Linked DNA regions of Notamacropus eugenii. The protein of the gene in region 2 purifies or fractionates together with the protein of the main gene of each other region. This does not show direct contact. Links are inferred from orthologs where the notes say so. Each region holds a gene or a part of one and is shown on either strand. Other genes may lie near its edges.

The links. Proteins that work in one complex are often made in the same cells at the same time.
Region 1: the proteins of KPNA1 (region 2) and MTA3 purify together in Homo sapiens (affinity purification with mass spectrometry; 3 studies listed by BioGRID and IntAct, with this or other methods). This does not show direct contact. The link is inferred for Notamacropus eugenii from reciprocal best matches to the Homo sapiens genes KPNA1 and MTA3.

Annotation. Positions count from the first base shown.
Region 1 is NC_092872.1:667,600,219-667,607,325, reverse strand, and holds the start of MTA3 (metastasis-associated protein MTA3), read left to right. Parts: upstream 1-4,033; 5' UTR 4,034-4,347; coding exon 4,348-4,375; intron 4,376-7,107. UniProt on the Homo sapiens protein: Acts as a component of the histone deacetylase NuRD complex which participates in the remodeling of chromatin.
Region 2 is NC_092876.1:342,694,560-342,701,490, forward strand, and holds the start of KPNA1 (importin subunit alpha-5), read left to right. Parts: upstream 1-3,892; 5' UTR 3,893-4,021; intron 4,022-4,263; exon of another isoform or gene 4,264-4,370; intron 4,371-6,931. UniProt on the Homo sapiens protein: Functions in nuclear protein import as an adapter protein for nuclear receptor KPNB1. Binds specifically and directly to substrates containing either a simple or bipartite NLS motif.

The DNA of each region.
Region 1 (7,107 bases), on a different chromosome or scaffold from region 2:
CCTTTGCTGTCTCCCATTGACCCTCCCCTCCCCCAAGTCCACCCCATCTCCAGACACATAATATTTGAAGGATACCTGCTCAGTCCTGTCTCCCTGAGAGGACTGCTCTCCAAGGTTTGCTATCCAAGGCAGTGTTCCAAGCTCCAGATCCTTCTTTTATCCAATCAATAATAATACTTCTAGGATACTTTGATGGACCTAAAATTTCATATATGTAAGTATTTCCTTCCTTGGTGTAGATCACAGCTGTGGTAGAGGATGAGAAGGTAGAGAAATTGTATGAAAAAATGTGATAAGCTCTTGCAAATTAAATCAACTTATGCCTTAATACGTGGTGACTGTAATGCACATGTGGGTTTAAGGAGTGCTGGCCAAAATATATATGTTGGAAAATATGATTTAAGTACATGAAACAAAATAAAAAAGAAACAAAAGAGGTCAAATACTTGTAGATTACACTGAAGCTTCACATCTACATATCATGAACGTTTTGTTCAACAACAGAATTAGGAGGTGTGAAACAGAACAAACACTGAATAATACAGCTAAATCTGAAATTGACTCAGTTGTAATGGATAGGAAACAACTGGTTACGAGCAGGGAAGTCATTTTCCAATCAGCTGTGTTCAGTTAGATATGGACTGGTTAAAACCAGGATCAAAATCAATAACAAATAAAAATAAGAAGACATGACATGCAATTAAGACAACTCAGGGCTTTAAAATAGCGAACTGCTGCCATGAACAAATGGCTGAAATAGTTGTAAATGCTATCTTTATGGTCTAGTTAGTCATGGATGTGGAGCAGAAATGAATGACTTTGGACTAATCAAAGCAGAAAGTAAACTGGGAAGAAGGCTTGAATATATTTAGCTTATTAAGGGATTAATAGTGGACAAGTTTGTTTTGTTTTGTTTTTTAGTTATTCACAAATACCCAAAGAAGTAAGACGTGATAAAATTGCAATTTTTACATAAGTATTTGAACCACCTAAGCCAAAAAGTGTGATGGGACATTCTAGGAACATTACAGAAATATGGTCAGTAGAAAGGAGATTTATTAAGTTAATTTATCAAATGAATTTAAGCTTATTGGTGTAAACCTAGTCTTCAACAAACAAAAGAATGAGAATTAAAAGAAGAGACATCAACATAAACAATCACTACTTCCTGAAGAGAGGAGAGTACTAGATGTTCTACCACTATTGCCTAAAGAGATAATAATTCTCACCCATTTTAATTCTCTTTTTTCTGGAATTGAAAAAGGCAATACAACTTCATTTTAAAGAATTCAATTCAGTTCAACAACCATCAAGTTTAACTAGTGTAAATCACTTGTTACAATGAAGACGCCAAAAAACCCAAGAAAATTCCTCATTAAGTAGAACAATGATCTTCTCGCCAAGCTGAAATATATGGCAGCCAAAGGCAATGCCAGTCTACAACATTTTTTAGGGGAAATCTCAAAAGGGAGGATAGCAGAAGATTATAAGTATTATCACTTCACAAAATAATGAAAAGTGATAGTGAAAAAAAATTACAGAAAACTTGCAAGAAACCCAATAAAGCCAGATAATCGTGTGCGCATTAAAGGATAAAACTGGGAGGACAATAGAAGATGAAAAATGCAAAGGCTCTATAAGACTTTTTTACAACAACCTATTTTCTCCCTCAAAGACAGTGAAGTCCACCATATTTAGATCCTAACATTATTGTCTCTAATGTGGTACATAAAGAAGTAAAAATAATACTAAGGATAAAGAAGCTGAGAAGAGCAGCTGGGTTAGATTAGGTACCTACTTAAGGGTGCTTCTCTTTCCTCTCTAAGAAGCCAACTGCTGAAGAAGTCTTTTTTCTCTAGGACACTAGTATATGAATATTTATAATCAGAAACAAATTTGGAATTGTCTAGGAGTTAACTTGCAAAGCCTCCCTGAAAATTTATCTTTCCTGGTTAGTAGAACAGATGCCAGAATTATACTGCTTAAGGAATTCACAATCATTCCTTCTACACTGGGGTTCAGGAACAGTGTCTTAAACTCCACCTCAGGACTGGAGAAGCACATATCTATCATTGCCAAGTGCTTTTGCTGTAGGTTGTCAATACTGGTCAAAAGAGGCTGAAAAGGAGAGGTTGCTCTCTCCCTACTTGCAGAACTCTGTAAAAAAGCACAGGGGAAAATGCCTCTCAGTCTGTCTCCCTGAGTTTCAAGCACTGGGAACCCCTTAAGTGTTATCCTGTTTTACATCATTATCTAATTTATAAATTAGACAGGCCTTGATTCAGGTGATATAAAGTGATGGTGATATTGGGATATGTTCTGATTACAATTCTGTGGATCCTGTGCTACCAGACAAATAAAAGTCTTCCTGGGCTCATCTTTGAAACAGACAGGTAGAGCTTCCCTATGTCAGGGGATATTTTGATAAAAGTCTAGTACAATTGTGATAGCTTTAAGCTGAATCATGACAACTTCACCATTGTTAATTTTCTTCTTATGGAAGAGGAAAAGGCATTAAACCAAAGGTTCATATAGCCCTTGTAAAGGTGGAGTTCTTTTTATTAGCCTGAGTTCTCTAGTTTGGCTACACATAAAGTCTTGATTTCATCAAAAAATTTCTGTTTATTGTATCAAAGTAAATAAATGACTTGTCAGAAAGCTAAAAGAGTAGTCTTTCTCTTCTGGAGATTAAAAGAAAAACACTACAAGAATTGGAGCCTGGAATTAATGAGAGAGACGGCTGCTTCTCAGTCAGAAACTCCAAAGAAGGAACAACAGCATGGGGGCATCTTCATGTTTATTAAACAACAATGTTTGGGAACAGTTTGGAACCGATTTAGCTTGGGAACAGTTTAGTTTCACTAAATAAGGTTGTTTGGGTTCATTCGGGGATGTCTAGCTAGCTTCAGACTTTATTTGGTTTCTTGTTTTTGTCAGGATATGAAGGATATCAAAACCAAGTGGTTTGTTTAGAGGACCAAATTGGGAAAAATAACGACCCAGTGGAAAGCTCAGTTGCAAATAACTTGTTACTGTCCATCGCTACCAACCTAGTTGTCTTGTGCTTCTTGCTAATGGGGATGCTCATGGCAGCAAAGGCTGGCTGAATTTCCTTAACATTGACAAAGAAAAAGGAGCCCTTCTATTATGTCCTCTGCCCCCCACCCCTTTTCGTTCTGGATTCCTAGTCCTCTGGAACTATATTTGCCTTCATAGGTCTCTCTGTTTGCAGCTGAGAAAGGCAGTTTCCAAGGGACAAGAGGACAGGAACTGGACCTACAAATTGATGGTGTTATTTAGGGACTGAAACAGTCTTCCACCACCAATCTCCTCCCTTGTATTTTGTGGTTCCTAGTTCAAGGGGAAGTTCGGCACAAGGTTCCTTCAACATGCAAGACTAGCCTTATAGTGAAGAAGGAAGGCTGGCTGAGCTCTCCAAAAGTATTGGCAAAGAGGAAAGCATCATTCCTTATTCTTCCCTGCCTAGGGTTCTTTCCTCCCTAGGTTTGTACACCTCTGAAGCTATGACTGCCTTCATGGGTACCTTCGTCTTCAGCCCTAGAAGAAGCTGGTTGTCCCTGCAGTCACTAAGGGGCCAAGACAGTGGCTTAGTCCGACCTCCAGGTTCCCTCCCACGGTTCTGAACACTTCGAGGGGAAACAGGAGTATCAGACTCTCTCACCTTGCATGACTAGCCAAGTAAACTCAGAGCCACACATGCAGTTGAGGAAACACCACAGCATACTCCCACGTATGGCTTATGTGCACCCAAACTGCAACACACACACACACACACACACACACACACACGAGCTCCCAAGGGTAGTTGCAGAGCTAGAACCTAAAGGGGGTGATTGGGCAAGAGTAGCAACTGTGCGTACAGGTGTGTGGGGGATGGGGGATAAAAGGGGGAGGAGGTCATCGAGGCTGGGATCGTCCTAAATTCCCTAATGGGTTTAAGACCCTGAAATCACCAAGCCCAGGCTGTAGACCCTTAGCTCTCTCTCCACGGTCCCCTCAGGATTCTCCCCAGCGATCTCCCGCCAGTCACCCACGCCCGCCCCTTCGAGGGCAGGGCCCTATTAACCCGTGGCTGGCCCGGGGGGCGGGCCGCTCCCCCCTCCCTCTCCCTTCCCTTCCCCTGCTCTACCTCCTCTCTCACCCCCTCCTCTCCCCCTCCCCCTCCCCTCGGTGAGGCGGCGGCAGCGGCAGCAGTAACAGCAGCAGCAGCAGCAGCGGAGGCGGAGGCGGCTGAGGCTGAAGCGGCGGCGGCGGCGGGCGGGGCTCAGCTCGGGCTCCGGCTCCGGCTCCGGCTCCGGCTTGGGCTAGGCGGGCGGGCGGGCGGACATGGCGGCCAACATGTACCGGGTCGGAGGTAGGATGGAACCCGGGCCTGGGGGAAGAGGGGGCGGGAGAGCTGGAACCCTAACCGCTGGAGAGGGCGGGGGAGGAGAGGTGGGGGGCAGATCCCTTCCCCCCGCCGAGCCCCGCGTGCCCCCTCCCTCTGGGCCTGCGAGGGCCGCCCCTCCCCCGCGCCCCCCCCCCCCACCGCGCGCCCCCCCCCCCGCGGCCCCCCCCCCCCCGCCTTGCTAGTGGCCGCCCCCTCTCCCCGTGCCTCTCTCTCCTTGGCACCCCCCTCTCCCCTCCTGTCCCCTCGCCCAGGGGCCTGCCAGGCCCTCCCCCTCCCCCGGGCCTGCGTGGACCCCTGCCTCCCTACAGGGTCATGAGCTGATCGCCCTCCCATTCCCCTGGGGTAGGAGCTCCTGGTGGTAAGGGCGGTCGAGCATCCCCCACAATGTGGGTGCAGGGCATTGGGGCCCAGTGAGTGTGGAGCCAGGCCGTCCGTCCCCTGGAGGGGGAGCAGGCGGGCAGGCGGGCGGAGGGAGAGCCAGGCAGGCCTGTCTGCAGGGGCAGAGCCCTGCTTCTCCGCCCTCCCCGCTCAGGGGCCCTGCTCTGCCCAGCCCAGCCCGGGCCCCAGCTCCCCCAGGAGGCAGTCGCTGATGGGGAGCAGCAGCGCCTTGGGTTAGCGCCTGCCTCTTCGAAAAGGAGAGCGATAGCGTGAAACACAAACTTTCTCCCTCCTCGATTCCCTCCTGTCCCCTTCCTGACAAAATAATAATTCAGATGAGTGCAGTGCTTGCGTCTGAGAGGCTGCTCCAGCTTCTCTCTCATTAGCTCAGCTCATGGCTAGTGGTGGGAGGGATTGCACTGGTACTGGCTAAATGAGGCCACTTTGCAGGAAAAAGACAGGGAAAACAGGCACCAAGAGAGACAATAACAATGGAAATCCAGCCTCTCAAATAAAACACACAGTGGGAAGTTTCCAGTGAGCCTATTAGATTGAGACAACAAGCCATACTTCAGATTTTTCTCCTTTTCTGTGGAAAGCTTGTTCTGATATCCACATAAATGGGCCCAAAGGGAGTTAGATGATAAAAGGAATTTGGTGTCTATTCCAGGGGACCTTGCCCATGGTAAAGGCCTTCCTGGTATGGTGAAGCATGTAAATGTTTTCAAGTCCACACGCATTTGCTGTACTAAGCCTTCCTCATTGTCTCTTGATCTATTTTTGAAAAGTTACTTGGTCATTGAAATGTCAGACTTAGAAACCTTTAAGTTACGCGAAGTAGTTCTCATATGAAGAAAATGGTGACACTTGTATTATAATTAAAAGAAAATTGGAGATGAGCGGAAAATGGTTGTACCTACTGCCATCATCATATTCCTTTCATGGGATCATAGATTTAGCATTGGATATGAGAGAGCATATTGGGTGCCATTTATTCAGTGGGGGTTGAATAATTATAGCTAATGATGTTTAATCAGCCTGTGGTAATGCAAAGAGCATTGTTTTGAAGTCAGAGGAACTGTGTTCTAAACTCAGTTCTGTTGACTTAGTAAATAGAGTTCAGAAAAGACTTGGACTCAGTGATTAGAATTGCACCTGAACACTTTAGCTCTCTGATTCTGGGCAAGGCATGTAACCTTTCTGATGCTCAGTTTCCTCATCTGTAAAATAGATTAATACTTTGCACCTGTCTCAGAGAAAAATCAAATGAGCTGGCATGGGTCAGTTTTCTTTAAACTTAGAGCTTTTTGTATATGTGAGTTGCTTTTTAAAAATTATTCCTAGGGTAACTATGGGTAAGTCAAACACTCTCTGCCTCCATTGCTTCACCTGTAAGTTCAGAATGTTATACTCCATTATCTCCAAGGTCCCTCCTAGGTCTAGTCACATAGGCTCCCAATGAGGGTGTCATCACTGACTCCTCTCTCACTCTCTCACCCTCACATAGACAGTCTTTGCCAAGTCTTATTTGTTCTTCCTTTGAAACATCTCTTGTATATTTGCCCCTTGTTCTCCTCAGACATTAACGCTGCTCTGGTGCAGGCTCTCTTTACTTGGAGCTTAGACTATGGCAATAGTCTGCTGATAGGTCTTCCTGCCTTACGTCTCTCCATATTCCAGTCCATCCTCCACCCAGTTGTCAGTGGTCTTCCTAAAGTGCAAGTCTGACCAAATTATTCCCCATATTCAGTCACATCCAATGACTCTATTTTACATTCAGGATCAAATATAAAATTTGATTTGGCTTTTAAAGTGCTTCATAATCTGCCCCCTTGTTATCTTTCCAGTCTTATTACACCTTACTTGATAACTTTCTTTCCCCACCCCTTTCATGTATTTTTTCCTCCAGGGACAGTGGCTTCCTTGCTGTTTCTTAAGTCTGTTCTCTCCTTCACCCTGAGATTCTCTCCAATTTATTCTGTGTATATTTTGTAGTATTTGCATGTTTTATTTCCCATTAGATAATGAATTCCTTGAGAATAGGGACATTGCCTTTCTCCAGTTTTATCACATTGCCTAGCATGTAGTTGGCACTCCATAAATGCTTGTTAACATGACTCTAAATCTATGATCCTAGTTGACCATGTTAATTGAAATAAGGATATAAATGAAATTCATTGCCTGTAGATAACAAACATGTGGGCCATGTACTGTATATTTTATTTAAGCTTGGTTTTACATAGTGAATGAGCTGAGCTGAGAGGTGTGGAATATGAATTGTATAATTTTCATGACTTCAATTAGATCGGTGACAGAAT
Region 2 (6,931 bases):
TCATATAAAACCTATTTTCATATTAGCTATGTTATAAAAGAAGAAATAGTTTGCAAAAAAAATAAAATAGTTTACAAACAGAAAAACTATGGGAAAAAGTAAAGAAAGTGAAAATACATTGTTTTGACCTGCATTGAGACTCCATCAGTTCTTCTCTGGATGTGGATAGCATTTTCCCTTGTGAGTCTTTTGGAATTGTCTTGGATCATTGTATTGCTGAGAAGAGCTAAGTCAATCATAATTGATCATCACATAATTTTACTATTACTACGTACAATGTTCTCCTGGTTCTGCTCACTCCACTGTATATCAGTTCATTTAAGTCTTACCAGGTTTTTCTGAAGTCTGCCTGTTCATCATTTCTTATAGCACAATAGTATTTCATTACATTCATACACCACAACTTGTTCAGCCATTCCCCAACTGGTGCATCTCCTCAATTTCCTATTCTTTTTCACCACAAAAAAGAGCTGCTACAAATATTTTTGTATATATTGGTCCTTTTGCCTTTTTTTATAATCTCTTTGGGATACAGAGCTAGTAGTGGTATTGCTAGATCAAAGGGTATGCACAATTTGATCACCCATTAGGCATCGTTCCAAATTGTTCTCTAGAATGGCTGGATCAGTTCACAACTCCACCAACAGTGCATTAGTATCCCAATTTTCCCATATTCTCTCCAAAGTTTATCATTTTCCTTTTGTTATATTGGCCAATTTGATGGGTGTGAGAGGTACATCAGAGTTGTTTTAATTTGTATTTCTCTAATAGTGATTTAGAGCATTTTTTCATGACTATAGATAGCTTTGATTTCTTCTGGATGAATACCTTGACACCTCTGCTTTAGAGAGATCTTTCCCTTCCCAGGCCACCAGTATCAGGGGAATCAGCACTGAAAGGAAAAGACCCTGCTGCAGAGACTATTGACTACAGGAGAGAGTCCAATTTGAGTCCTCAGAGAGTACATATTGACACTAAACAATGGGTACTTTTGTTTGAAGAAGAACATTTTTTTCAAAGCACCTTTACATTTATTATCATACCTTATCCTAATTCAGCAAGGCTGCATGCTAATCAGGAAAAGGTATTTTTGTTCTTATTTTACAGAATATGAAAATGAGAAATTGTGTGCTAAATGACTTTTTCCTTTAAATCAGATCTAGGGCTCAAACACTATTCTTTGGGCTTCCAACCCCAGACTCTTTCCTTCCACTTCCCTTGGTAGTCCAGGGATCAATTTCGTTTGACTGAACAAGGGAGAAAGATATGGGCTGTGGTACTACATAGTCATTTTAACCTCCATCATCCCACGCTTAGGACAGACTTCTCATTCAATTCCTATTTGTCTTCTGAGTATTTGTACTAGGTGATATTGTGGGAGAAAGAAGTACAAAACAAATAATAGGCAGGACTGAAAATTATTATTGTCATTGAAAACAGCTTCCTCTGGTCTGAAGTCTTGTCTGGACAGTGGGCCTGAGACTACTTGAAAACTACTGGGCCTGGCTTTCATCCCTGTGGCCTCATTTACTGTCCTGAACAGCAAGAGGAAGGTAGTTCCAATGGCCAGAGCTACCTCAATGACAGTGAAGGCCAGCAGAGCTTGAATGGTCCCCTGGATGCTGGGCCTGGAGCCACTAGGTTTGAATTCTGCCTTTGATGCTTTAGATGCAGAGGTTTTCAAAGTGGGCCATACCACCCCCCAGGGGGCACTGGAATAATCCAGTAGTACTAGCCTCATAGTGTCTTGGGTGCAATTGGGGGTTATTGAATAAAAATAAAAGGGTGTTGAAAGCATAAGGAAAGAAGATAAGAAAATTTTGAAAAATGGTTGGTACATGTTTCATCTGTTGTGTAACAGAATTAATGAGATTACATTTTCCAAATATACACACAAAATGTAAGTTACAACCAATCAGCGGTCAAATCCACTGACAGGTCTCAATAAGCAAGTATTGGCATGCGAGTATATTGTGCATTGTCTGGAAGTCCAGCACGCGCTGGCAGGAATATGTGCAGGTAATGACTTGTTTACGATATGATACTATACAGTTACATAACACAATATTGCATCATCAAAATTTCAATGAAGGAAAGCCCCCACAAATTTACAATAAATTATTAAATTTAAGATGTGTCATTTAAAAAATATTTTGTATTTTTTTGAAATGACACAAATAAAAAAAGTTAAAGGGTTAAAGAAAGTAGATTTCTGGGAGGGGCACTGAGAAATTTTTTTAAAAGGGGTGATAGGCCAAATAAGTTTGGGAACCTTTGCTTTAGAGATAGGTAACTGTGGCCAAAGGGTGACTATGACCCAGTGACTTATCTCTGAATAATCATATTTGTTATCGTAGGGCGGTTGTGAGGAAAGTGCTTTACAAAACATAAGACACTATGTTAAAGTAAAAGAGTATTTTAAATAAAGCTTTAGTGTTGTTTTCCCTACTTTCGTTTAAGAGATATGGCTCACTTCCTAGATGGTCCTCAGGTCCTTGTTCATACTTCAATGTGTATTTTATTCCCCAGTTTGTAGAAGATGGATTAGATTTATTTAGCATGGCCTTAGAGAGCAGAGGTAGCAGTGAGTGGGATCTTGCTTTGATTGTGAAGCTTTTCTAACTGAACACAGCCTACAAAAATGTGATGGAGGTAGTGGGCTCCTTCCAAGTAGCTTTCTTCAGAAGGAGGTTGGATGGCCACTTGTGTCAGATGTTGTAGAGGGGAATGGGCCATCTTTTCAGCTACAAGCAATTCTCAAAAGCCATATGCTAAGTCAGAGGGGCTGAGAATCCACGGGGTGGACGAAGGGAATTCCTGCTTGCGCCTCTGAAGCTTTGTGACTCTAAGAGTCCTGGACATGAGAGACACAAGAGAAAGGGATCAGAACAGGTCTCCTGGGTAGGCCCCACCTTGGCAAGGTCAGGAGATCCCAGATTCGCTGGGACATTCATTCCTACTAAGAAGCTAACTGATCAGCCAGAATCCCATCTGCGTTGGAACGATCTTCCAGGCTGGTCAGCAGCACAGTTTGCAGTCAAACGTCGGGCCCCCTGCTGAGGGGCTCTAGAGCCGTCCTCAAGTCAGGGAGATGCGGCTTCTAGGTCCACATCAATACTGACCAGCTCAGTGCCGCAAGCACCACATGGGGCTATAAACCAAGCTAGGGCTCGGAGTCCTCCCCGGGATGGAAACAAAAGGGCAAAGTCAAGACTTCGGGGCTACAAATGTTTATCAAGCATCGGCTGTGGATAACACAGGCAGCAGTAACGCAGAAAGGTATTCGGACGAGTGCAGACAGAGCAAAGAGATATTGTCCCCCAGGCCGTAATCCACCGTAGGGAAGTGCGTGAAACGGGCCAAAAGGCCGGGTAGGCCGGTCCGAGCGCCCCTCCCTCCTCCGCGGAGGGACGACGCCCAGGCTCCAAAGCTCCCGGTAGCTTCTGCGAGGCCTGTTCCCTGCCCTTCCCTAGTAATCCGACACTAGTTGCTCCTCCCTCCTTATTATCACTCTCCTAATCCCCAGGCCCTTCACTCCCCAATATAAACCGAGTACTGCAGACTTCATCTTCAATCCATCCGTTTTTCTGAGCTAGACCGATCCTAGTTTTTCTTCTTTTGAACACAAGCTGAAGGGGGAGGGGCTGTTGGTTAGAAGCTGTTACGGGCGGGTGGAACTACAATTCCCAGAAACCTGTCCGGGACCCTAATCGCGGAAAGGGAACGCGCAGGCGTAGAAACTGAGCTTCCCCCTCTTCTCCCCCCCCCCCGGCCGCCCCCTCCCAACCTCCGACGTATGTAAGCTGCTATCACGCAGGCGCGCTCCGAACGCCGGCTTCTCTGGTCTGGCTGCTTGCTCGGTACGCGGCGGCGGCGGCGGCGGCGGCGGCGGCGGAGAGCGAGCGAGGCCTGGTGAGCGCCTCTGAAGCCGCAGGTCAGCTGTGCGGTCGAGAGAACCGGCGGACGCTTGACGCCCCCACTTTACCCACCGTTCGCTCGAGATCGGCTGCCACGGAACCAGGTGGGCGCGCGGGTGGCGGCGGTTGGGGAGGGGAAGGCGTCCGCCAGGATCCTCCCTCTTTTTCTTCCTCCCTCCCCCCTCCCACTCCGGGCTGTCCTCCCGCGGGGAATGGGGAGAGGCCCCGGGGCGGGGGCGGGGAGGGCGCGAGCTCCGATCCCTGGGCCTGTCATCTTGCGCCTTCTCCTCCTGTAGCCGCGCAGCTAACGGCAACGTTGGGGAGGCCCTGCCGGCCTGGGGCTGGGCCCTGAGGTGCTGGTCACTGTCGGGAACGCCGGCTGCGGCGGATCGGCGGCGGCGAGAGCAGCGGGAGGAGGAGGAGGAGGAGGAGGAGGAGGAAAGGGAGGAGGAGGTGTGTGTGGGGGAGGGGAGCTAGGACTGGGCGCCCGCAGGGGCGTCGACGGCGGGGAGGGCGAGCCTAGACGCGGTGCCTGCGTGGTAGATTGGGGTGGCGGGGGGCGCCGGAGGAGCTTGTCATAGGCTATGTGAGTGTGTGTGTGTGTGTGCGTGCGTGTGTGACATCGTGTTAATCCAGACAGGAAGGGACAGTCCGGGTGGGAGTTCACAAGTTCGGGCGCCCCCACCTACCCCCCGGCCCCAAAGCGGAGCGGATGGGTATTTTTGGGGGGAGGGGGGAGACAAGGCAGGACGCTGCGCTGTGGAGGTGGGGGTGGGGCGCGGCTACGGCGACAGATGTCATAACAACACCGGCCTGAAAAGGCTGACGGGGGTGTGGTAATTATAGGCATGACAGAAGCACTTGTGACTAGAACGCGGATAAATGGCGATTCGTGTGCCGGCATGGCTGGGAGGTGTGACGTGCGAAGAGTTCTGGAGGATGGTGCCCAGTGGCGGGGAGGTGGTAGAGCCCGCTGAGGGGGCCTGGGCTGGGGGAGGCAAGGACAGCCCTGAATGCTGCCCCGATTATAAAACTGGAGAAATAAAAAAATACATTAATCCTTCAAAAATTCTGTTTAAGCTCTTTAGGACAAATAATCGCAAAATACTTCTACCTCCATACTGTCTTACAGTATGATATGTCAAAGGACCATTTTACTAAGCTCTTTTTTGTGATTTAATCTATACATATGGGTTAATCTTTTTTTTGTTCTCCTGTCATTAATGGCCCTCTTTATTTTTATCTTGTTTTTGCTGTTTTTAATTTTTGAAATGATCAAGAGCTTGTTTTCTAGATCCTTTGAGTAGTAATGAATTACTCATTTTCTCATTGGCAGAAATCATAAATAACCTCATGTATTTATTGAAATAAATTGTTATACTTGCAGCACGTGGATTTCATAATATGGAGAAGGTGTGTTTTTGGACTAGAGTGGATGGAGGACTAGGGGAACTAGTAGAGCAATTGGGCAGACCATGATCCATGTCGGGGCAGAAGAAAGCCCTAAAGACTTGAGACAGGCCAGGAGGATTTGGGACTGAAGCTGATTACCTTCTTAGATTAATTTCAACAGAGCTAGGCTACCCAATCAAGCTTTCTGGAAGGGTCAGGGTGCAGTGTGAGAATACTGGATCTGGAGGTACTCCCTTTAAGGGTACAAATCACAGCCCCTTCTTACCTACCTGTTACATGCAATTCCTGCCCCTTGGACTACCGTAAACACATCACACAGAGCCTCCTGAAATGTTAAGGGCTGCCCTTCCTTTCCCTTGTTGTAATCGTGCACATGGGTTGTCAGATCAGTTACCTCTTACTTCATTTGCCCAACCTATCTTTTTCACTCATACATTCTTTAGTAACATTCTTTAATTTATTTCTCCCTATAATTCCATGTTTCTTTATTTTTTTTTGTATATTTATATAGTCTTTGCTTGTGCTCACTGCGGGCGTGCTCCGTTACCCTTTGGCTTAGTCTCATTTTCAGTTATTTGGACACTAGTGTTCAATGACACTGTTCTCACTACAACACTAGAAGAATGTTGGTATTTTTAAAATGATATTTAAAATACTCGTATTTTTAAAGGCTTAGGGTAATTAAAAGACCTTTGCAACATCTCAAAAGCAGTCCAACTTCTCTTGCTTTTCAATTTTGGGTCCAACTCATTGTCCATTTGCTGTATATGAACAAGATTTATGCTAATAGTCAAGCTATATAGATTTTCTGCCCAGTTACATATCATTGTGTGGATAATAGGGTTTTTTTTTCTACCTGTTCTTTCCTCTGTGGATGATTCAGATTTTTGAGTGATTATATTTGGCTCCAAAATGAACTATTCTATATGAAACTAAAATCCAGTTTTGAGTAAATCACTGACCTGTCCTATTTGTTTCTGAAGAATTCTAGGTTCGAATGCTGTTTATTTATTGCCAGTATTGTTCCCCTTAAGTAGTACAGGTGGCCAAGATAACCTTAATATTTGATCTGAAATGTTACTTTAGAATAATATATTTACAAAAAACACAGTAATTGTTAACTAATCTAGTGCAGTACTTTTATCAGTTACATATGTGAGGAGGAATTGTATGAAGAACACCTAAATATTACTAAATAATACTAAATAGTATGAGGAATACTTAGGAAAGGATTACGTATGATCCTTAAGTTTACCATCTGGTAGAGGAGATAAACTATACAGGCGTCAAAACATACAGATCAAAGTGCAGAAATAAATATCAGTTAAAATTTTATTATTTATTCTGCTGGAGTGAACCAGCTTGCTTATATTTAGCTTATGTTTGAGTTGAACTCTCTTCTCATCACTCCCTATTAAAATCCTTAACTTTCTTCAAGGAGCCAGTCCAGGTGTCATTTTCTACAGGAACCATTCTTGGTACCCCATAGTTGTGTTTATTGAAATCACAACTTATATTTTTACTTAGCTTAAATGTTGTATTTCTCCTGTAGAATGCAATCTTGAGTTCAGGGACATGTTCAGGAACATTTTTGTATTTCT